Linked DNA regions of Arabidopsis thaliana. The protein of the gene in region 2 purifies or fractionates together with the protein of the main gene of each other region. This does not show direct contact. Each region holds a gene or a part of one and is shown on either strand. Other genes may lie near its edges. The genes, in order: AT5G63960 and POLD2.

What was found.
Region 1: the proteins of POLD2 (region 2) and AT5G63960 fractionate together in Arabidopsis thaliana (co-fractionation; one large-scale study listed by BioGRID). This does not show direct contact.

Annotation. Positions count from the first base shown.
Region 1 is NC_003076.8:25,594,956-25,608,738, forward strand, and holds AT5G63960 (DNA polymerase delta subunit 1), read left to right. Parts: upstream 1-4,558; 5' UTR 4,559-4,641; coding exon 4,642-4,927; intron 4,928-5,021; coding exon 5,022-5,132; intron 5,133-5,213; coding exon 5,214-5,320; intron 5,321-5,399; coding exon 5,400-5,559; intron 5,560-5,647; coding exon 5,648-5,843; intron 5,844-5,936; coding exon 5,937-6,072; intron 6,073-6,159; coding exon 6,160-6,348; intron 6,349-6,507; coding exon 6,508-6,585; intron 6,586-6,767; coding exon 6,768-6,859; intron 6,860-6,991; coding exon 6,992-7,058; intron 7,059-7,149; coding exon 7,150-7,221; intron 7,222-7,297; coding exon 7,298-7,384; intron 7,385-7,898; coding exon 7,899-8,018; intron 8,019-8,093; coding exon 8,094-8,192; intron 8,193-8,298; coding exon 8,299-8,406; intron 8,407-8,511; coding exon 8,512-8,607; intron 8,608-8,743; coding exon 8,744-8,809; intron 8,810-8,904; coding exon 8,905-8,961; intron 8,962-9,088; coding exon 9,089-9,176; intron 9,177-9,256; and 23 more. Other genes in the region: CHR24 (chromatin remodeling 24), read right to left, coding at 63-194, 572-662, 739-794, 876-983, 1,147-1,275, 1,532-1,586, 1,666-1,796, 1,874-2,862 and 2 more; RGLG3 (Copine (Calcium-dependent phospholipid-binding protein) family), read right to left, coding at 12,051-12,134, 12,242-12,298, 12,401-12,551, 12,667-12,785, 12,863-12,968, 13,046-13,223, 13,303-13,416, 13,502-13,642 and 1 more. UniProt on the Arabidopsis thaliana protein: This polymerase possesses two enzymatic activities: DNA synthesis (polymerase) and an exonucleolytic activity that degrades single-stranded DNA in the 3'- to 5'-direction.
Region 2 is NC_003071.7:17,559,474-17,570,723, forward strand, and holds POLD2 (DNA polymerase delta small subunit), read right to left. Parts: upstream 6,560-11,250; 5' UTR 6,493-6,559; coding exon 6,436-6,492; intron 6,308-6,435; coding exon 6,175-6,307; intron 5,986-6,174; coding exon 5,879-5,985; intron 5,800-5,878; coding exon 5,673-5,799; intron 5,525-5,672; coding exon 5,417-5,524; intron 5,323-5,416; coding exon 5,207-5,322; intron 5,136-5,206; coding exon 5,052-5,135; intron 4,954-5,051; coding exon 4,885-4,953; intron 4,796-4,884; coding exon 4,724-4,795; intron 4,642-4,723; coding exon 4,550-4,641; intron 4,449-4,549; coding exon 4,321-4,448; intron 4,222-4,320; coding exon 4,120-4,221; intron 4,029-4,119; coding exon 3,961-4,028; intron 3,872-3,960; coding exon 3,809-3,871; 3' UTR 3,684-3,808; downstream 1-3,683. Other genes in the region: AT2G42100 (Actin-like ATPase superfamily protein), read left to right, coding at 738-800, 1,157-1,550, 1,693-2,306, 2,407-2,472; AT2G42110 (uncharacterized protein), read right to left, coding at 2,761-2,850, 2,936-3,259; AT2G42130 (Plastid-lipid associated protein PAP / fibrillin family protein), read left to right, coding at 6,769-7,002, 7,338-7,459, 7,546-7,629, 7,717-7,813, 7,903-8,119, 8,203-8,255, 8,351-8,443; AT2G42140 (VQ motif-containing protein), read right to left, coding at 9,491-10,009. UniProt on the Arabidopsis thaliana protein: The function of the small subunit is not yet clear.

The DNA.
Region 1 (13,783 bases), on a different chromosome or scaffold from region 2:
GTAATTCCAAAAGACTTAGAATATTTGATCAACGACTGTAGTTGTATGTTTAAGGGTTGCACCTGGCAAGCTGTTAACCGTAACCATACAACAATTTCGTCCTTCTTCGAAAGTTTGGAGGTTGCACCATCATCACCGAAGACTTCACTCTTAAGGCGCCGCAAGAAGAAAGGTTGAATATGCTCCCTCAAGTTCTATCAATCAAAAGGAGGAAACAGAAATTTTTACTTGTAAGATCTGCAGCCTACAGACCGTGGCAACATATTTCACGAGCGAATTGATAGGTTTTTTCTTCCTAGGTGCAATTAAGCTTGCGTACGCATAACTGTTCTACGGCAATATCAAAAACAGTTTGCAATCTCATAAGATGCATACCAGACTGTAAGCATGATGCATGATAATCTATAATTTCATTTCTTGCTATATTTATGATCAATAGTAATCATAGACTAGAGCTAGATTCAACAAGACATACGAAGATAAGAGGAAGAAATTTAAAAATCTAATAAAACTTCTTTCAGCTACAGTACGAAATAGTACCCACTCAAGCATATTCAAATTGAATCCTCACCTTTGCTACTGTTGAGCCTATCCTCTGTTCTCTATCAGTAGCATTTTTGTCAGTTCCACGAAGAATGTAATGCTCATAATTCTGCTTAAACCTGTTAAAGCTTAAAGCCTTAGTAATACAGAGCTGGTAAATGTACTCTGACAAAATTATAGGGAGGATATGTTTACCAATTCTTGTCACCGAGTAACCCAGGGCAGCTGAAGTTGAAGAGAGCCCACAGTTCCTGAAAATATGAAGATGGAATCAATAGACAGCATTAGAATTGCAAGAACTGACCAACGTTAAATGTCATAGACAATAATACCTTGAGATTGTTCTGGATTGGTGTACCACTTATTATAATACGGTGAGAACTTGGGATCTCAAGCAAACTCTTCGCCCTTTGTGTGTTGGGGTTCTTAATAAGATGTCCCTAGAAGTGTAAGCGGAAATACATTTTATTGATATCAGTAGGGGGAAAATTCAGAACCTACACTAATGGTAACATCTCAGCGCTTGATGGACAATAGTGCATACACACTATACCAACTATTAGTGCAAAGACCTCACAAATGATAAAATATTGATGTGTTTACCTCGTCCAGAATCATGTAGTCCCATTTGTTTCCATCTTCATCATCCTCATCAGTATAATGGTCGTCACCTTGCAAAGCCTTTGTATTGTTCCGCACAATATCATAGGTTGTTAGAAGAATACCTTTACCCTACAAAAGTTAAAGATATTCAAGTGGGAAACCCATACCATTTTTCAAAAACAATCAGAAATTAACTCCGGAAAAATGATAGATTATTTCAGTTTAATCAATCTAAGCAATATTAAAATACGCTTATATAAAGATGATTTACTAGAGGAAGGGGCAACATTGTCACAAATCAAGTGAAAACGTAAATGAAATGCAGTTGTATAGTTAATGTATCAGTGAGATTTCTCAGGAGAACAATGAAAGAAAGAACATGAACCTGCAGAATGTGGTGGAGATCATATTCCCGGGCTTTCGTAGAAGTACCGTAGTATCTGTAAAAAGGAAAGAAAGACAATCAGTATCACTAAAACACTAGTTCAGTATATACAAATTAAAGAAAGTCGCTCTTACTCCCTAGTCATTTGTGAAAGTCCCACGGTAGCTAATTCTTTCATCCAGTGAGGCAGCAAGGTTTTTGGGGCCACTACCAGAGCACGCTTGATCAATTTGGAGTGGAATAAACCAGCAAGAAAACTACAAATCTGCAATGCGAATCAACCAAAATCAAAGATACATTATTGATAACGAAAAGAAAAGTGCAGGTTGCAGATTTCCGTACCTGCATAGTTTTACCTAAACCCATATCATCTCCAAGTATTCCACCTTTCCCTTGGGTATGCAATGACCAAAGCCAATTCAACCCTTCCCTCTGATGTGGATATAACATTGTTGCAATCTTTCCAGGCAATGTGTAAGACAAATTGAGGCCAGTTAAAGTGATAGACCCTTCATCTTCCAACGATCTCTCATCATAACCATGTCTTTTGGCGTTATAAGACCGAGCTGGCTTATTAATTTTCATTTCAGCCGCCTTTTTCCCGGACAAAATGAGACAGTCATCATCATCATCATCCTCGTCTAAGTCTCTTAGCTTGGCAGCATTAGACCTTCCGACTGTTCTTATCTTCTCACTTACCTCTATGTGCCTGGTCGTCTTCATACTTTGGTCGACTTCCTTGCATTGGCTCTTCCCACGGTCAAGATTGTATCCCTGCCTATTATCTTCAGAGTTATCGTCAAAGTGCCGACCAGAATATGAGTTTTGCTTTCCAACATTCGAAATTCTTTCTTCCCATTCCCTTGAAAATTCCTTACTAGTTTGCTCTTCCCGGATGGCAAAACCAGATTTGCCTTGCTTGTCCTTGATACTATTAACGCCAGCATTATATGTGGTAACCACATCTGGTGAGGACTTAGATAGATCCGATAGCAAGGAAAATGAGGATTTGGCATCCTCAAAATCAAATTTATCAACCTGGCTCTTCACTCCACATGCATCAAAATCATTGCTTTGGCTATCCTTCTTCTTCTGAATCGACATTGTCCCAAGCTTAGAGGTCAAATCATCCAAAATACCCATGATCTCGTTCCTTCCTCCATCACCTTGCATTTCCTCTTTTTGCTTCAACTGAGGTGAGGGCGAACAAAAGTCTGTGATTATCGAAAAGTTAGGCTCGCCAGCCAGCTCAGTGTTAGCTTCCTTTGATTCATCCCAAGATGTGAATTTGTTCCCAATTCCAGCGCTGTCTAGTGATGTCTCTCCTTTAACTGATTAGAGCATCATGCAAAAACAAACGTATTCAAGTAAAGTTATCTGACAAAACGCAGTATAATAACAGCTATAAAGACCGAAAATCAAACACCAGACTAGAAACTCAGATTTCGAAGAAACCCTAATTTCAAAGTAAGCTACTAGGACAAAATTGAAATACATCATCAACGGAAACACCAATTTCTTTCTGTAAACTAAGAGACATGGGTTTGCGAAAACCCTAAAATCGGGTGAAATCTCAAAATTACCTGGGGAATAGAAATCAACCAAATCAGGATCGTCATATCCATCAGCTTCGTCTTCCTTTGGCAAGGCCTTGCAAAGACGACGTCGTCCAGCAAGCTTAATCATGGACTTCTTCGTCTCTTCATCTTCTCCATCTGAAGTCCCCAAATATAATAAATAAAACTCAAAATCAAAGACAGATACGAATCCGAAACCATAGAGAAACGATAGAAGAGAACAATCGTACGAGAAGAAGAGGGAGGCTGTCTAGGAGGCGCAGAAAGATCCTGGAGGATACTGTAGTGACGATCGTTCAAGCTCCGAGGTTTTCTTCTATGGCTGGCCGTATTTTCCGCCATTGCTACACCGTTTTCTGGAGATGAGTTTGTGTTTCCCGATGATCGATTGTGATAAATGGAGAGAAGAGTGAGAAGAAGAAGAAGATGATGAAGAGAATGTTTGGAATCCCGCCTTCCTTGGCTTTTTTGAATTTTGAAGATTTCTCAGTTCCGAGACAAATGGCTCTTGTGCGCTCTCTCTCTCTCTCTCTCTCTCACATTTAACCTACAATACAACAAAATATGATTTTATTTCCTTTTTGGTCAGATATAATAGTATAATATTTTTTGCGTTGGTCTGAATTGTTTAGTAACAAGAACATCCGATGTGGTACACTTTTTTTACAAGTCATTTCAGATATTACAAGTCATTTCAGATAATACAAGTAATAATTTGTTCAATATCTCATGATGGAACCAAAAAATGACGGTTTGATGGAGGCGGTCGCTTTTTGGAATTTCCGGCTCTATTCATGGCTTTGGATGATCGGGAAAAGGAAGAGAATGTGTGAAATTGTGAGCTCGTGGACGTGGAGGGTTCATTACTTACTACCTTGGTAAATACTTGGCTCCTTCCATATACAGTACAACAAAATTTGCTGCAAGAGTTTGGAGACTCTATTGATTTGAAGATGCTCGACATGTTCGAGTTCTGCTTCCAACATAAACCAAGTTCCATTATGAAATGCGGCATCAACCTTAGCTAGTTAGCTACCAAGTGTACCATCACTTGCCTAATTGTCTTGGTCATGAATCCTGATATACTAAAAATAAAATAATTAAAGAGAGGTCGAATTCTCTTATAATTGTAGATCAAATGAACAATGAACGATTCTATGTGTATCACGATCGAACTCTATTATAAGGTTGTCTCTTTTGATCTACAATTATTCGTTTTTTTTAGCAATCAAAACTTCGTATAAGCACTTAAAAGTCTTAAACATTGGTCATCCGACAAAATATATTTTAATTCAAAATAATTGCAACCACAATAAGAAAAAGTCCGTAACGATTTGGTTAATAATAGCATTGTCTAGGGACTTAAAGAAAAGTTCCTTAAAAAACTTCACATTGACATCAAATCTCTAATAGCAAAACCCTTAAAACTGGCGGGAATCGGAGTGGTGTATAGTCTCACTTTCTACTTCTCTCAGACCTCCACGAGCTCACAAAATCACACACATTCTCTTCTTTTCCCGCTCACCCAAAGCCATGAATAGATCCGGTATTTCCAAAAAGCGACCGCCTCCTTCGAATACCCCACCACCGGCGGGTAAGCATCGAGCCACTGGTGATTCAACACCATCTCCGGCCATCGGAACCCTAGATGATGAATTTATGATGGAAGAGGACGTGTTTCTGGACGAAACTCTCTTGTACGGCGACGAAGATGAGGAATCCCTAATCCTCCGTGACATTGAGGAGCGTGAATCGCGTTCCTCGGCTTGGGCTCGACCTCCGCTCTCCCCCGCGTATCTCTCGAATTCACAGAGTATCAGTTGAGTACTATCTTAGTTTGATAAGGGCTTCTTCATCTTATGATTGCTGGAAAATTTCTCAACACTTGGATTTGTGTATTTTGATTTGTTTAGTTTTCCAACAATTGGAGATTGACTCTATAATCGCGGAGAGTCATAAGGAGCTGTTACCGGGTTCCTCAGGGCAAGCTCCAATCATTAGGATGTTTGGGGTTACCAGAGAAGGTGAGTGTTTTTAAACCTCTTTTTCTTTTGCTCTTTGTGGGGAACGATTTCGTTGGATTTGAGTTTCTGGTATATTGTCAGGTAACAGTGTGTGTTGCTTTGTTCATGGATTTGAGCCATACTTTTACATTGCTTGCCCTCCTGGAATGGGGCCAGACGATATTTCTAATTTCCATCAGAGTCTTGAGGTATTTACTATGTAGATCTCTGTATATTTTGTACTTTGATCTCGCTGGTTTTGTTTTAAAGCTCAGCTGATTCATTCAGGGAAGGATGAGGGAATCCAATAAAAATGCCAAGGTCCCGAAATTTGTTAAACGTATAGAAATGGTGCAGAAAAGAAGCATTATGTATTACCAACAGCAAAAATCCCAAACTTTTCTGAAGATTACAGTTGCATTGCCGACTATGGTGGCAAGCTGTCGCGGTATGACTTCCCAAATATTTGTGCGCTATGTGTCTACTATCTCTTATCCTTTACTGATTTAAAGTCATTGTAATTATTAAATTGGTAGGCATCCTTGATAGAGGCCTACAAATTGATGGATTGGGTATGAAGAGCTTCCAGACATATGAAAGCAATATTCTTTTCGTTCTCCGTTTCATGGTTGATTGTGATATTGTCGGAGGAAATTGGATTGAAGTACCTACTGGGAAGTATAAGAAAAATGCAAGAACTTTGTCATACTGCCAATTGGAGTTCCATTGCCTGTATCCTCATCGGAATTTCTTTTCTGGAACAATAATATGCTTATAGTAACATATTGTATTTTATGCCAGTGCTTTCTTTAACATGGGTTTTAGGTACTCAGATCTAATCAGTCATGCTGCAGAAGGTGAATACTCAAAAATGGCTCCATTCCGTGTACTAAGTTTCGATATTGAGTGTGCAGGTCGTAAAGGACATTTTCCGGAAGCTAAGCATGATCCTGTAATCCAGGTTAGCTGTTTTTGTCATTTTTTGATATACCTTTTTGTTACCTTTGTTTGCATTCTTCTTGAAACAACATTCTCATTGCTTTTCTAGATAGCGAACCTTGTTACTCTTCAGGGAGAGGATCACCCATTTGTACGCAATGTCATGACTCTTAAGTCATGTGCTCCAATCGTAGGCGTAGATGTCATGTCTTTTGAAACAGAAAGAGAGGTCTTACTAGCTTGGAGGGTATTGTTTTTGCCTCTTCATTATTATATATGCATTACTTCTTCTTCATCTGTTTTTTGGCACCTTGCTTGCAAAAGTAAGTTCTATTACAGTTGTTAAATCCTGGAGGACTCAGTGAAAGATTTAGTAAACTTTATGTTGCTACTGCAATTTTGTTGTGGGCTTGGTGAAACATGTGTTCTGCTGATGTATGAGATGTATTGGCTGCAGGATTTGATTCGTGATGTTGATCCTGATATCATCATTGGTTATAACATCTGCAAATTCGATTTACCTTATCTGATTGAGGTACTTGAACATTAGATTTTACTTTTATTGACGGATCAGTATCACCTCTGGTTAGCAGAAGCGTGTTTTTCTTTCTTATAGCATTCTATATGTAATATTATGCTATGCTCCGCTGGGTCATATGGCACATGTATATGTGATGGATCTTTAACCTAGAAAATATGCTGTTTTCTGATTCTCAGAGAGCTGCTACACTGGGAATAGAGGAATTTCCTCTTCTTGGTCGTGTAAAGAACAGTAGGGTCCGGGTCAGGGACTCAACATTTTCATCAAGGTGATGTAGGAGTAACTGGTGCTTGCTAACTTCCATCGCTTTCTCTATTGTTTTTTTGTTATGCTTCATGCTTTTTGTGCCTCATGAGTTCTCTAAACTCGCATCTTATAATATTATATTGCCATGTTTCAGACAACAAGGAATAAGAGAAAGTAAAGAGACCACAATTGAAGGAAGATTTCAGTTTGACCTTATTCAGGTTTTTTGTCCTTAACAAATTCATTTTGGTTGAGTCATTCTTAGATTGTTTATTTGTAACATCAACCTGATTCGTCTTTTAATTATTGTAGGCAATACACAGAGACCACAAATTAAGTTCTTATTCGCTGAATTCTGTCTCAGCTCACTTTCTTTCCGAGCAGGTGAAACCGAGTAATTATGCTTAGAATTTCAGGTTATTTCTACTTTCCATGTGGCTAACCTGATTGTCTTCTGCAGAAAGAAGATGTCCACCATTCTATAATAACTGATCTCCAGAATGGGAATGCGGAAACCAGGAGGCGTCTTGCTGTTTATTGTTTGAAGGTACCTACTTTTATTTATTCTGGAGTAGTGCTGTCTATGTCCTGATGCATTGCCTGTTATTAGATAACTTTAAGATTTTCTAACTAGCTATCAAGCTTGTCTAACCACCTAAAGGTCCTATTGCATGTTGTCCCAAGCTATGATGGGAGTCCCAAGTCCCACCCTTTCTAGTGTAAAAGATGAACATTGATGTGTGTTTTAAAAACTTTTTTAGTAATCTCTGCTTATATTTTTGTACGTGTGGCAAGAGGAAACCTTGTAGATAAGGGTGTATAGAAATGGTTGCTCATATGTCCATTCATGATTTTTTTGAGCATGCTGGAATCTGGATGTGAGGTAGGCTTGAAGGACTTCTGGCAATTGCTGGCGATATTTGTGACACATGGAATAATGTGTTTCGTAGGATGTGTGGAAGGATTTTCAGACACTAACTTAGCTGCTTCTCTATTAATAGTCAACCAACTAAATATTACAAGAAGCTACAACTTCACCACGTTTCTTTTCTCTGTTACAGGATGCATATCTTCCTCAGAGGCTTCTGGACAAACTGATGTTTATATATAATTATGTCGAAATGGCTCGTGTAACTGGTGTCCCTATTTCATTTCTTCTTGCGAGAGGACAGAGTATCAAGGTAGTTCTCAACTTCTAGTTTCTGGATGTGTTTCAGTTTAATAAGGTGGCTGATATATTGTGTCTTTGCTTCTAGGTTTTATCTCAGCTTCTTAGGAAAGGCAAACAGAAAAATCTGGTTCTTCCAAATGCTAAACAGTCAGGGTCCGAACAAGGAACTTATGAAGGCGCAACTGTAAGTGGGTGATTTATGGATCTAACATTTCCTTTTGGCCTATCGGTTGCATTAATTCCACTGTTCCGACATGTTTGTTGTTTTGGATATGTCAAACGATATTCAGGTTTTAGAAGCAAGAACAGGTTTCTATGAAAAGCCAATTGCAACTTTGGATTTTGCTTCACTGTACCCGTCAATTATGATGGCATATAATCTGTGCTACTGCACCTTGGTAATTCTTTTGATATTTTCTTTTCAATTTCTATTTATTTTATCATCTATTGTTTATACACCTTATTAATTTGGGAGCATTATTTCCATGTTCTTGTCTTTGAAGGTGACACCTGAAGATGTACGCAAACTGAATCTTCCACCTGAACATGTCACTAAAACTCCATCAGGGGAAACATTTGTTAAGCAAACTTTGCAAAAGGTTTCCGCATTTAGTTAGATTTTTATTATCCTCAAGTTCCGCAAATTCTGTTGAATGAGTTCTTTCAGGAAATACAACCAATTAATAAATTCAGGGAAGACAGCAGTTTATTAACAAAATGAATAATTTATTTCAGGGTATACTTCCAGAAATTCTCGAAGAGCTTCTTACTGCCCGTAAGAGAGCTAAAGCAGATTTAAAGGTAAAACATTTGATTCCGAAGAAACTCTTGCAGTGTGTGCGTATCTGTATACAGCCTTTAACTACTACTATTGAAACTGGTATTGTCTAATCTAGGAGGCTAAGGATCCCCTTGAGAAGGCTGTTTTAGATGGTAGACAGTTAGCGTTGAAGGTGAACTTCTTTACTGCCAGCTTCTTTAACTTGGTCATTCAGAAAAATGATTACAATCCTCGGAAAATTTCGAACAATATCCTCCCTGTAAATTGCTCTTTTACATTTGTTTTCTATTTTTTCTCAGATCAGTGCAAATTCTGTCTACGGGTTTACGGGAGCCACTGTTGGGCAGTTACCATGCTTAGAAATATCCTCGAGTGTAACTAGCTATGGTATTTCTTTTGTGAAACTGCAACTTTTCTAGACACGTAGCCTTTTAGGTTCGTTCTGATGGATTTGTATCTTTTTGAAGGTCGTCAGATGATTGAACAAACAAAGAAACTTGTTGAAGACAAATTCACAACACTGGGAGGGTATCAATACAATGCAGAGGTACATGTTCATTGAATTATTCGTTGTATTGAAAAGACTTGAGTGAATCATTAAGTTTGCTCTTAGATTTCTCGAATTTGATGGACTATGATGTATTAGGTCATTTATGGAGACACGGATTCAGTCATGGTGCAATTTGGAGTATCGGATGTAGAAGCTGCGATGACCTTGGGGAGGGAAGCTGCAGAACACATTAGTGGAACTTTTATCAAAGTAAGTGATTTTCTAGGAGCATGTCTTAAACTTCTCCGGTTCTCCCTAATCCTTGGGGTAGAGGTGCAAGATTACGTGATTTCTTGAAAACAAAATATAACAGGCTGAATCGTTCTCTGTTTCTTGATTGTGTATGATGTCATAAAGCCCATCAAATTGGAGTTTGAAAAGGTCTATTTCCCATATCTTCTCATTAACAAGAAGAGGTATGCTGGTTTGCTATGGACAAATCCTCAACAGTTTGACAAAATGGACACCAAAGGTAAATCTTCGTGATTTTACAGCCTCTCTCTTATTCATTTCCTGACTAAATTTCAATATCACCGACTTTGGCAGGAATCGAGACAGTACGAAGGGATAATTGTTTACTGGTTAAGAACCTCGTGACTGAGAGTCTTAACAAAATACTTATTGATAGAGATGTTCCAGGGGCAGCTGAAAATGTCAAGAAAACCATTTCGGATCTTCTCATGAACCGTATTGACTTGTCACTTTTGGTGATTACTAAGGTAATATGTTTTACTTGATTTATTGTCCTGTGATGTTTGTATCGCCTGAAAGTGTATTTTAATGATTAAAGCCATCTGTTAAAACTAAAACAAGAATCAAATGGATAATGCTCCTGATGTGTTTCCTCAAATCATAGGGTCTAACGAAAACAGGAGATGATTATGAAGTTAAATCAGCTCATGGTGAACTTGCTGAACGCATGCGTAAGGTTTGTGGTACTCTTTATCTATTTTCGTCTATCATTTGCAGGATTAAGCATTTTCATTACATGTTAAGATAACTCTTGACCGTTTCCGTTCGTGAAGAAACATGTACAAATGTGTCTAGGGGAATTTTCGTTCCTTTACTCTAATTCCAGCATCTCATGGACACTCTCAAACTGAAAAATGGGAGTGCTAAACAATTAAATTTTAATTTTTGGCTTGTATAATATTTTAATATGGTTCTTTGGTCGTCTTTTTATAGCTGCACAAGTGCAGGGATTTTTCTTAAGTCATGCATAATTTTGCTGAATATATGAATTTTTTTTCCGGCTTTTTGGTGAATATATAATATCATACAAAGGTTGCTCTGAAACTTAGATCTGTTTTACGGTGTCTGATGATCTATCATGTGAATATGACAGTGTTTGCTTACATATGTGACAGAGGGATGCTGCTACAGCGCCAAATGTTGGAGATCGAGTACCGTATGTTATCATAAAAGCTGCTAAAGGTGCCAAGGTAGTTTTCATGTCAAGCTTGTGTTAGCTTTTCCATAAGATGTTAAGGTCATTCTCTTCTTCCGTGCTTATCTCATTTTGACGTCTGATAGGCTTATGAACGATCAGAAGATCCAATCTACGTGCTACAGAATAATATCCCTATAGACCCAAATTACTACTTGGAGAATCAGATTAGCAAGGTCAGTTCAACATGGCGTTTGTGTATAAGTTTATTCTATACTCTTTATTCTGGTGATTGTAGGTTAAAGGAGATGTTGTTTTCAGCCACTTCTTAGGATTTTTGAGCCAGTCCTGAAAAATGCTAGCAAGGAGCTTCTCCATGGAAGTCACACGAGGTCAATATCAATCACTACTCCTTCAAACAGCGGTATAATGAAGTTTGCTAAAAAACAACTGAGCTGTGTTGGCTGCAAAGTTCCGATCAGGTACTTTGTGGTCCCTTGCCTATGTATTATCTGTTTTCATATATGGGATCTGTTTATCAATATTCGCTTTTAACTTCAACCAGCAATGGAACACTATGCGCAAGTTGCAAGGGAAGAGAAGCCGAGTTATATTGCAAAAACGTGTCTCAAGGTATGCTGCCGTTTTTCCCTTTCCTATAGACTCTTTGATATATCTATAAAATTTGATACTTTCGTTGTGTTATTCAGTGGCTGAGCTTGAAGAGGTTTTTGGGAGGCTGTGGACACAGTGCCAGGAGTGTCAAGGCTCTCTTCATCAAGATGTCTTGTGCACCAGGTTTGCTTATATTTTTATCGATATCAATTTCTTTTAGAAATCTTTCAGCAGGTAAATAGGTTCTGATCCAATTTCCTTTCTGGATTTCTTATTGGTCTTTTACAGTCGAGATTGTCCAATATTTTACCGGAGAATGAAAGCACAAAAAGACATGGCTGTAGCCAGGCAACAACTCGACCGTTGGAGCTTCTAATAAGTATTTAAGGTTGTTTTTAGCTCTCTCTTTTTTCCATTGGTATCGTTGCTGTTACACTTTCCGCTTGATTTAGAACTTGTAGGTCTCTTTGGAATGTTATAAAAAGGACCTCTTCGGCTTATTTGTACGTAGCTGTTGATTAATACAAAAAGAGAACTCTTCTCGCATATCTCCTTGTTTCGGCAGGCTAAGAATTACATATGAACTACAACTCGAGATTTATGCTTTACAATTCTTCTGCTTGGACTGTACAATGTTCTACAGAAGTATAAACATGAAGCTCAAGTGCTTAACCATATAATTTGTCTCATCTCTAAGAATTTTTCCGAGTCAAGTGTACAGCCTTATCCTTGTTGTTATTGGTTGTCTGCATAGTGGGCATGTTGTGATAACAACTCCGCATTCCTTGCATGTCTTTATTTGAAATAAAAAGTATCGGAGATGTCACAAAATCGATCTAGAAGCAGTACAGTTCATAGAACAAGTAAGAGTATAATTGTTCCTTTGAAATTTTCACATACCGTGTGACCGCAGCTAAAAGCCATGTCCTTTGGATTCGTCAAGCAAATCGGGCATACCTTTTTGAAAAACAAAAGGAATGTAAATCTCAGTATCAGAGAAACTGAGTATACTCATTGACAAAAGAACAGAAACAAAGGCAGAAATAATAGAGTATTTACCGGCACTGTGGAAGGAGCGAGTCTGTCACTTTTCTCTGCAGTTTCTGTCATCTGATTTGGCACCGATCTAACAGCATTGTCACGCTCTATAACCTCTGGTGGTGGCGGGAGTGGCTTGTGGTGCTGATGGGAACTGCGCACTGGTTTTCTACTGTTCATAAGCACAATCAAAGGTTGGTTTAGTTGGCAAAGAATCTAATGCAATAAGACCATAAACAGTGAGTGATACAAGTAGTTTCCAACGGTAAATTTTTTATTGCATTTACTTGAGACTTAATGTAGCCTTGTATTGAAAAGGGATCTCCATGAGAGCTGCGAGTGCGAAAGCAGCCTCCTTCTTAGCCGCATCTTTGTGCTCTGACATTATCTTCGTGAAGTTTACAAACTGTGGAACAAAACACAGTTTTTCATGATTCATGTTTCAGGAACAAAACAGAGCTATTCAGGGTTTTATTATATTACCTGGAAGTTATCGAATTCACGGTGAGGAATATTGTCATCGAATTGTTTCATTGTGTCCCATGGTCCATCTCCTACTCCAACCAAGACTATCGACAATGGGTAATGGCTGGAAAATTTATATCAAACATCATTAGTATACATATGAAGTCTGATCATGAATATGAGCTTATTGAATAGTTTTACCTCGCTGCCATTATCGAGTTCATAGTAGCTTCTTCCTGTGGACTAAGTCGACCAAGCGGCACATCTGGATTTCTTGTGACCTGACCATCTGCGATAATGACGAGAACATGGTATTGCATATTGTTCTGCTCAACTATGTTGATGGCAGCATCAATAACCGGTGCAAACGAGGTAGGACCTGTGAGGGAAGAATACACTGATTAATCTTTACGATAAGAGAGAACAAAACTGCTCCATTTTTGAAAGTTCAAAAATACCGGACAACTTCAAATGTGGGACAATCTCTCTATATCTTTTAACTGCGTTTTCCAATCCGTCGCAGCTTTTGTTCTCGGGATAAAAGCTGAATACATATTGATCTCGCGTTGTTACTGCAGGAAGAAGAAAACATAAAACCATTAAGAACTTTGGTTTATCTTATTCATTCATCTTGAAAGCAAGAAATAAGAAACTAACCATCGCCAAAACCGAAACAAGGTATAAGATCATCTTCATCAAAGGGAGACAAAGTACGACCAATAATCGATATTGCTTTCTCATATGGATTCTGTCTTTTACCAATGGCATGAAGGCTTTTTCTATTGAATGAATATCTCCCTGCAATGAAAATTCAGAACATTAACCAAAACCATTGAATCTTTTCGTAAACATGTGTAGCATTTTTTATCAAATCAAATAATTACCTGTCCACTCATTGCTCTTGGTAAAGTCAATTCCTAGAATCAGATTTGAAGATTC
Region 2 (11,250 bases):
AAAAAGTATATCTTACTCATTTAGTATAAGATTGTTTTGGGTTAAAATGGTAACTTTTTATTATTTTCAATAAAGTAAAGCTAATCTAGTTTTTATAAAGATACAATGATACATATTATGACATATATAGTATATATACTATATAGGGCAAGGTCGGCCAAAACATGCAAGCAGTAGCGCTGAGTTGGCTCATTCATATCATTTTAATTTTGTTAGATTTTTTCTTTTTACATACATAATTTATAATCAAAAATAAGAAAAAATTCAAAAGATTAGGAAAAATTGCACTTATTTGGAAGGGGGAAAAAATTGACTCCTACTAGTGTGGGACCCATGTCTCTTTTTCCATGCTCTTTATAAACGAAACAAAGCGATAGGATTTTTGTCAGAAGGATTCTTGTTGCCGAGACGAGACAAGGAAGAAGAAGGAGAAGAACATAATTTTTGAACGTAAGAGAACGATATTCTTTAAGTGATTTTTTTTTTGTTGTCACTGCAGCGATGTTTGCCATTGCAATAACTAGGGTTCTTTTCTAACACCATCCGTTTGTAGTTATTAGGTATATATTTCGAGCTAATTTATCCTTAAACATAAGAATTAACATGATCTCTGTATACGATATCTGTTTTTTTCCGAAACTGATTGTTATTTAGTTGTGTACGTTTTGAAGGTATATAATGATAATAATTTTGAAAACCAATTTTTTGAAACATGCATGATATGTATACTCTAGATAATGTCGGATCTAGGTGACGAATCCGTGGCTATCGTGTGTGACAATGGAACTGGAATGGTCAAGGTAAGGAGAAACTAAAAACACTCTTTATTAATCTGTAATGCTTTTTTTTTGTTTGATGAAAAATCTATAATGCTTCCTTTGTTTCAAACACTATTTACGCATTTGCTTTGCGTTTACATTTAAATTTTTTCAAAAAGTTAAGAAAATAAAATATTTTGCAAAGTACTGAAAACGCCAAAAAAAAAAAACTTTTTCTATTTCCCGTTTTCATTTACGAATACCAAAAGATTTTTTCCTTTATGTACTTCCGGTTGGGCAATAATGAGTTAGAAAAATGTATACTAAATATAAACGTAAGCAACCAATCAATGTATATTGTAGACCTAAATCCTAATGATTGGTAAAACATTTTGAAGGCGGGATTCGCTGGAGACGATGCACCAAGAGCTGTGTTTCCAAGCGTTGTGGGTCGTCCACGACACAGGGGAGTGATGGTAGGAATGGATGAGAAGGATACCTTTGTGGGAGACGAAGCTCAAGCCAGGAGAGGTATTCTTTCACTTAAATACCCAATCGAACACGGTGTTGTTAGCAATTGGGATGACATGGAGAAGATTTGGCACCATACTTTTTACAATGAGCTGCGTTTGGAACCTGAAGAACACCCTATTCTTCTCACTGAAGCTCCTCTTAACCCAAAGGTCAATCGTGAAAAGATGACTCAGATCATGTTTGAGTCATTTGCTTTTCCTAGTATGTATATTGGTATTCAGGCCGTTCTCTCTCTCTATTCCAGTGGTCGTACCACAGGTATGTAATATCGTTCACATGCAAAATCTTTAAATATATATATTTTTTTATATAAATGTGATTTTTATGAAAATCTTGAAATGTGATTTTTTTTTTTGGTAATAACAATGGTCCTAAATCTGTTAAATTTCTGCGTGGTTAGGTATTGTGTTGGATTCAGGAGATGGTGTGAGCCACACAGTTCCAATCTACGAAGGTTATGCACTCCCGCATGCGATCTTGCGTCTAGATCTAGCAGGCCGTGACCTAACCGAGTATCTGACGAAAATCATGATGGAACGTGGCTACACATACACCACATCCGCCGAGCGTGAGATAGTCCGAGACATCAAAGAGAAGCTTTGTTACATAGCTGTTGACTACGAGCAAGAAATGGAGAAGGCTACAACGAGCTCGGCAATCGATAGAACCTACGAGCTTCCGGATGGTCAAGTGATCACGATAGGAGCTGAGAGATTCAGGTGCCCTGAGGTTCTTTTCCAGACGTCTTTGATTGGCATGGAAACTTCTGGTATTCATGAGACGACTTACAATTCGATCATGAAGTGTGATGTGGATATAAGGAAGGATTTGTATGGAAACATTGTGTTGAGTGGTGGCACGACGATGTTCCCGGGGATTGCAGATAGGATGAACAAAGAGATCAATGCGCTTGCACCGCCTAGTATGAAGATAAAAGTTGTGGCTCCTCCCGAAAGGAAATATAGTGTTTGGGTTGGAGGCTCCATTCTGGCTTCTCTAAGCAGCTTTGCACCGGTACATATGATAATATTATTAACTGTTTTATAAATTTAACGTGCGTATAGATATCTCTTTTTGGTGTGTTGTAATGTAAAGTTGCGATGTCTATATGCAGATGTGGATTACTAAAGCTGAGTATGACGAACAGGGAGGGGCGATTGTTCACAGGAAATGCTTTTAAGTTTATAATTTAGCAATTCTAAATCATGATGGTCATCATGTTCTTTAATTATGCTTTCTTTTTAATGCTTTGTTTAATTTGGTGAAAACTTGTAATGGGAGATTTCAAATATATCTGATTTTTTAAATATATTTCTATGTTTGGTCAAAAGAGCAAAGGATTTCGTGATTTGAGTTAAAACGGAAAAAAAAAAAAAGAAAAAAAAAGACGAGAAAGATGTAACACTAAACGTGAGAATAATACAAACGAATGTAAAATAGTGAGAAAAGAAAAAAAGATTGAAAAAGCTTAAACGACGTCGTTGGTGAGACGCCTGTGTCTGTTATAATGCTTCTCGATGAAAACTCTTGAAGCTCCTTCCATTGTTTTACGCCATGTCTGACCAATTAGAGCAGAGTATGATTTTAAAAATAAAGAAATTTACAAATCAATTAATGGAAATTGGATTCAGTAATTATTATACCTTGCCGATGGTTCTGACGAGAGACTTGTTCCTGAGATGTGATTTTCCAGAAGCAAGCTGCCGGATAAACAGAGATCTCCGTTTACTCGCCGGGGCAAGCAAGAGCCGTTTCCTCTCCACTAAGCCACTAGTGTTACTTTCGATGTCAACGCCCTTCTCTCGAGAAGAACTCTTAGCTGATTTCTTCCGGCGTTTCGTTGACTTTGACGACTCGTCGACGTCGTCAGGATCGGCGAACTTACGGAGCAATTCGTCGGAGGATTTCTTGTTCACGTGAGTGATTTTCGTCGGAATAGTAGTCTCTGTGATAACAACAAGATCCATATTCTCGGTAATGTAAGAAAGACAAGTAGTGAGTGAGAAATTGAGAGAAAGAGAGGATTAAAGTGTTAAGTGTAGAAGATGAAACTGTTTTGCGTTATAAAGGAAAGGTTAGGGAAATGCGGGAAAATGGACCGTTGGAGAATATAATGCGTTACATTATTGCATTTAATTAATTTTATAATGTAATAAGTGTGGATGGATATAGCCGTTGAGAAGAGAGAGAGAGACATTTGCATGAGATTCTGTGCACTTGTTGCTTTTTTTAAGATTATTTTTGCAGTCTTTTCACGTTCTTCTGACCAACGACCACGACACTATCTGGTCGGCCCTTTTTGTCCTTTATGTGACTACCTAAGAACTCGTGTCGAGATTTTTAGAAAATTAGGACAAAACAATGAGCATTACCAATATATCCAAAGATTTGGAAGTTCCACTCAAGAAAAAGGATTTTTAACAAACATTTGGTTAGAACATAGGAGTGTGTTACTGAAAAAGCTCAACATTACATCTTCAAGACAGGAAATAATCTACCAAAGTAGCAACTCAATGTTATGATTGGTTTATCTGAGTGCTAAAGCTTAAAGTGTGACATTCCAGATTTCTTAGGTTCACCTGCGAAATAGACATGGTGATTTTGAGATTTAGAATCTGCAATCTATGAGGGTAAATGGTCTCAAATTCTGCTCAAATTTTAAACTCACCGCAACAGCAATACCGGTCTCACAGAACTTAGGAATGCAGATCAACCGGACAAGCTGCCCTTCTGACCCTGCAGCATTCATATTTACCCAAGAAAAGTTAAAGCCTGATGTTTGACAAAAGAGAATGTTATTTCTAATCTCTGTGTAAGGTGCTTTTACCCTTTATCAAACGGTTGTCATATTTATCTTGATTCCCGACGAAGTAGACATGCGGGCAGGTTTCAATCAAGAAAGGGTCTCTATCGGTGAAAGGATAACAACCTGTACGCAAGTGAATCAAAACCAAATAGAACTCAAAGGATCATTTTTTTATGGGCTTAGTTCAAAAAAGTAATCTTGCAGGGCAAGGAGAATTCTTACCGAGTGTATTAGGTGCAGTTGGGGCAAGATGTCTCCACCTCAGCGTTCTTTCCACAAAATCAAGCTTGCTCTTAGCCTCTGAGTACTTGCCAAGGTCATCGATGTTCTGACCAGAAGTTCCAAGAAATCTGCAAAATGCCCCCATATGAGGTTTTCAGTCAGATAAACCCAAGAATTTTATCGTTGTAAAATCAGAGAGATTGTATTCAACTATTAATAATAATCATACCTGATATTATCGACATCAAATGAGTGAGGATTTGTACATGATCTGAAGGTGTTATAAGGTGAAGATCCAGGGAAAAGACATCTATTCAGAGGCTGAACAAAAGAGAAGGGCCTATGAATCAGAGTTATCGATACAAAATGCGGGATTTTGAATGTTTCTTATGTATTTGCAGACCTGCTGAGGCAATGCGAAGTTAGCTGGATCATTCGTGCCTGGCATGATATCTACTGAAACTCCTGCAGCTATCTAAAAACAATCCACAAAAAAAAAAACAGGAGTTTGAACTTTCATCTCAATAGATATCGATAACACACACGTAGATCCAGTTAACTGACCTGGCTTAACATGATATCAAGCTCTTTGATGGGCTCATACAGTGTCGATTGATCTTTCGAGGCCAAGTTCTACAAAGATCAACCAATAAAGATCATAAGACATAACTGGGGCAGATAATTACTGGAACTGTATCTGAGAATATATCAGCAACAAAAGTTATAAGTACCTGGCCATTAATGAGTTTGCGGGGAAATTCAAAAGAGTTTCCAGCAATTACTACATGAACTATCTGTGCTGCAAGGCCTTGTTCCTGTTCAAACCATAAAGTATAAATTAAGGAAAGAAATATGTTGAACAACCTGCAAGTTAAGAGATTTGAACCTCCTCATCTCCGAGATGCCCAGTTATATGGTCAACAAGAAGCTGAAACTGCAGGGGATTAGCCGATTTGCTTCCAATACAAAGGCCCGACAATAACACGACATATTTATCTTCCTCTGCAGATGCAATATGGATGTATCATGAGAGATTGCTTATAGAAATGATTGAGCCATGAGGTTAGCAAAAGGAAGAGAACATAGCTAGACTTACGTAGATCGATAGGCCGCTCAATCTGAGGTGGTAAACCAGCTTCTAGTACATCCTCAACAAAGAATTCACCAGCATTAGTTTCCTTCCCATGCAGTGCAACAACAACACCTACAATGCACGGGAGGCTTCAACGTTAATTTTCTTAAAGAACCCATCTTTTAAGAGAGGAAAGCTTGATCAAAATCTCTAAGATTTGCCACATTGTAAAGAAGGAAAAAATCATACAGTAAAAACAGTAAGAACCCATTTGCAATACCTGTCACATAAATCGCAGGTGAAAGTGCGGAACCAGCAAGCTTAACTCTCCCACTCTCGTCTTCGAGGATCAGATTATCATCAGGATGCATAAAGTTATGTGGTTTAACAAGCGGAGTAACTGACCTCTGCATTATGTTAAATATACTCAGATTGATTCAGCATAGACATAGCTCAAAAAAACAGTAGAGGTTAATAAAAACCAACCTCTTTAGAATATTCATCGAGAACACAAGGTTTAAGCTTCATGTGTTTGAACAAGGTTCCCACAATTATGCATTCTTTTCCTTTTTCAAGTCCCAAAACCTTACACACTGCAAAAATGAAATTCACATTCAGATCTATAATTTAAACAATACTAGCAATCTTTCTCAACTGTAATCCATAAGATAGCAAAAATCCCTAAAAATCACTGATTTCACCTAATTATATCTAACCCAAGAAAATTCTCAAAAACTGCTCTTCGTTGTTGTGCTAAATATGAGAGAAACAAAAGCACTGACCAGGCAAATGAGATTTCCAAGTAGGAGCAAGAGAGTAGAGAAGTGTTCTCATGAGATGAAGACGAGCAAAGTAAATCTGACTGTATTGCTGACCTCTGTACATCTCCTTCTGTATCTCGAATCTCTCATCCTGCTTCAATTGCAAAAACTCAGAATCAGATAACAAACCCTAGCCCGTACACTTATAAGTAGAAACAGTCACCACCACGAATGATTACATTTGTCTTTCACTACAAGTCGATAAAGTAATAGAGTTCGTACCAGCGAATTGTAATCGGATTGCTTCCTTTCGTGAATTTTCTCGGAGTCGATTTCCATGGCGGGAAAAAAAAACTCAGAACTGAGCAGAAAATTCTGAGAAAAGGTTTCAACTTTCAACTTTGGCACTAATCGACGACAAGAGTCTTCTTTCTTTTATGAACAATCGAACCAAACACAAAACCCGGTTAACTGTAAGAGGTTTAATTTGAACCGGATATAAACCGGTTGAACCAGACACTCCCACCTTAACTCTTTTTTCCTGAGGTTTGGTTGCTCAAAGCAAACAAATTCTCAATCTTTCGTTTTTCACCTTCTTCTTCTTCTTCTTCTTCAATGGCGTTGATACATGGTTCGGTTCCTGGTACGTCTGCGGTTCGATTGGTTTTTTCAACCTCAGCGTCACCGTCGAGATTTTGTCTCAATGTTCCGGTGGTGAAGCAGGGTTGGAAGAATTCGTGCCGGAGAAGGGTTTTAAGAGCAATGGTGCAGGAAACAGTTCAAGGATCTCCTTTGGTTTACGCCAGAGAAATGGAGCGCCTTTCTGCTAAGGAATCGCTACTTCTCGCTGTATAACTTCTCTCACTTTTATAAACTCTTTGAATTACTTGGTTGTTATGTGAATATATGATTTGTTTAGATCTTCAATTTTACTCTGATTTTGAAATTGTGTCTCTTTTACTATCTCTGTCGTAAGCTGAGGATAAATGGGAAGACTTTAGGTGAATTGTGTATTTGTTAGATGTAATCGAGATTTTGCAGATAACAAAAGAGAATTTTTTTCTCAAAGTCCAGAAATTGAATGATCATGTTTCAGCTCAATTGAGTTTTTCTTAGTATAGGAACAGAGCTCTGTGTGTTTGGAACTGTCAAACTATTTTTGTCCTGAAGCCATCTATGTACAGTTGAAGGATGCTGGAGGCTTTGAGGCTTTAGTTACAGGGAAAACAACTAATATGCAAAGGATCGATGTTAATGAGAGGATTACGAGTCTAGAGCGGCTTAATCCAACTCCGAGACCAACCACGTAGGTCCTTCTTTAATCTTTTGGTTACAATTTTTTGCTTCGGTTTTAGGATAATTGTCTTTTAACTGGTTCCTATAGCTTTCCAGGTCTCCTTGTTTCGAAGGCAGGTGGAATTTTGAGTGGTTTGGATCTGGAAGTCCTGGTTTACTCGCTGCTCGAGTTATATTCGAGTCTGTACTTATCATTTTCTCATCTTAAAGCTCACCAAACTTTATTCAACGTTTTAAGTGTTTTGCCATCTGATTGTATTGTTTCAGGAGGTTTCCTTCAACATTGGCGAATTTATCAAGAATGGAGATACTGATCAAGGATGCTAACGCAAAGGCGACTGCAAATATCAAACTTTTGAACTCGGTAACACACTCAAACCCTTTTTCCAAAGTTTGATTATTTGTTTACTCAGAATCACAAAGGAGGTTTCTCACAGTGGCAGAAAAATGCAGATAGAAAGCAAAATCATTCTGTCATCAAAATTGACTGTTGAGGGACCACTGAGATTGAAAGAAGAATATGTTGAAGGTATGCTTGAAACTCCAACAGTCATTGAAGAAGCAGTTCCTGAACAGCTAAAAAGCGCTTTGGGACAAGCTGCCACAACGTTGCAGCAGCTTCCTGCTCTTATCAAGGATACTCTAGCCAGTGGTCTGAGAATTCCCCTTAGTAAGCTACTTTATCCATTTTTTATACATTTAACCATTTTCCGCTCAAATCTGCACTGAACCAACTAGTGATGTTTGCTTCAGGTGGATCCTTTGAAAGATTTTTCATGATATCTTATCTAGATGAAGAGATTCTTGTAAGTTTGTTGAATATTTTGTTAAGAATGGTGAGAGAGACTGAGATCGTTGCACTAACCGAGTTTTATCCGCTTTTGGTTGTTTTTTCTCGTAGATAGTAAGAGATACCGAAGGAGTGCCTGAAGTTCTAACGAGGATAGAAACACCATCATCGACCGTTGTAGAAACTATCGAATATGATAGTTAGATGTGACTAGCCATTGTTCTTGTTCTTGTTCCTATGTTCTCTGTGTGTTATATTACAAGAACCAACCACCAAGTTGGTGTCTGTAAATGTATGACGTTAATAACTTGAGGGTCATCTCCATACATCAAAACCCCTTCCTTCTTTTGTGTTCGCTCGGCAAATCTTCTCAAGTTATCCAAGTACTTGCAGATTCTCTGTTTTGATCATCTTAATAAACTCTTTCTATGTAAGAGGCAGCTCAGATTTAATATTTTTCTTAGTTGATTTATAATGCCAACTTGATCAAATATGAATACATGATGCGGGTTATCTTTTGATGTGTCATGTGTAGTTCCATCATCATCATGCATCATCACCATCACCACCGTGACACACATGCATATATACACGTTTGTAATTGTGGTTACTTGTCGGCTCATATCTGTAATTTTAAAATATTATATTTGTTATCTTGATTAATTATGGTCCCATTTGTACTTATCTTATGTTAAGTATCAGTCAATCGATCAATAAGTCTATTTCTCAGTCCATTTGGATAAGCGAGAAAAACACATCGCAAGTGAGGAAAAAAGTATACATAGAATTTCTAAACGTCCATTATATTCAGATAGTGTTAGTTAATTACGCTATAGCCAATCCCAATGATATTTTGTTATAGATTTTCATAATCCTTACATATTTAATAAGGATTTTCTTGGTAAAAAGTTTGCGAAATTCTATTTGTGATTTATCATTATTATAATGTGGATTTGAATTATATAGATTTATAAAATTTCATACCTACTTACTAGATTATAGTGTAATCATATAAAAAATACAAAACCAGAGGGAAAAAATTATGCAGAAATAGAACTCGTAATAATCGTAAACCCGAACCTCCCACGATTCCACAAGAATATTGTCTAGAAAGTCAAACATTTCAATTATCGAAAAAAACAAAAATTAGCTTCTAGAAAGTATATAAAAGAAGAAAACAAAAAATTATTAAAAGTTTTAACCTATTTTAAAGAAATAAAATGTTTAAAAGATTCTTCCGCTTGAGACGTTTTAGGCGTAATGGTGAGGTTCTGCGAAAACGTTGCCATGTAAGTGGGAGGAAGAAGCAACGGCAGGGTCAATGGTGAAGGGTAAATAAGGAAATTCACCTAGCTCCTGAATGAAGCCGTCGAGATCTCCTAACCCGTTCAAGAACCCACCGGAGCTCTCGTCACCATTTCCGTTCCACGTCATCGACACCATCCCTTCTTCCTCTTCATCTGAGTTTATGCAAAATCCATGGCTCTTGTTCATGTCATGGACTTCATGATGATCATGACTTCTTCTAGATCTAGGGTTTCTTTTGAGACCCTTTTGGTGGGGGAGATCGTGGTGATGATGATCTTGTTTCCCGGTGAGATTCTGGACGATTTCCCGGAAGTTGGCGACATCGGTCTTAATGATCTCCGGTGCGAATATGTGAATGATTCGGATCTTAGGTTTAGATTTGGTGAGTGTTCTTGACTGTTTGTGCATGGCTATTGTTGGTAAGCTTCTTCTTTTCTGAACAGTAGTAGCTTCAATTTCCATAGTTTTGTAGAAGAATAAAAATTAGGGTTTATGTGATCAGAAGAGAGAGTTGGTGATTTTTTTTGGTAAGTGAAATGTGATAAGGTTAAGGTTATATAGGAGAAAAGATAGAAGAAAATGGTAAAGAAAAATCAACTATTTTAGATGTACAAGTTTTAGTGACAACTAGGTAATATATGTTTAATCCTTTTCCTTTTCTTTTTCTTTTTTGTCAACTCGTATTTCTAGTTTATATCGTAGCAGAACGTAAAGATCCTGAATATATTATTAATAAAGGCAAATAATATTGATTGATGTCTTGTTGAGATTCAATAGATAAACTATAGTTTGAATAATTAACATACAATATGAGATTACACTTATATTGAATATTGATGAAAGAGATGTGTCAGGCTGTCTCCGAAGACATGAGATTTATGAATCCAAAGGAAGTCCAGGGACCCCTCCAACTATAACAAAATCCTCGTTTTGGAATGTCTTAAGACATTAATTCATTATATTTTTAGCATATTGTAATTTAGTATCATTGATATTAAATTTTTGTGGTCAGAGATCCACGTACGATATTGCATGTAATTTGTAATCGTTTTCGCATTCATACAAGTAAATGTGTACACATGGTGTAAAAACGATACAATATTAAAGTTGGAGTTTATATAATTCATGAAGGTGACACATACAATATTTCCAATTGAAATGTATTTTTTATCTCAACATAGTCGAAATAAAGTAAAAGTTGTCATTAGTATATTTGGCAATGTGTGTTTAGTTAAGGTATTACGCATAAATCCAGGTGGCTTCAATTAAATAAATGCCTATAGGATTGCAGAAACTTGTCCCCATGTAATGTACACAAACTCAACCACCTTATCATTTGCAATCTCTAAAGTTCAACATAAAAATACAATTTGTGTGGACCACTACCAACACTTTTTATAATCTATGATTACAGCCTTAACAACGAGAATCTCAGATAGTACATGTTTAACTAAACTAAATTGGATGACATAATTTGAAAGAATTATATATGCAAGGTGTAAATTTAACGTATAGACATGTCTTGATAATTAAGAACCACAAATGTCACAGCTAGTGGTATATATAAAACTAAATTTTAAATACGTATATATGTGTGTGAAATGTCATGATAGGTTAATAACCATTTAAACGAACTTATGAATAGTAACAAGACGAACTTATGAAATGAACTTGTGAAATGTCATGAGAGGTTAATAACCATT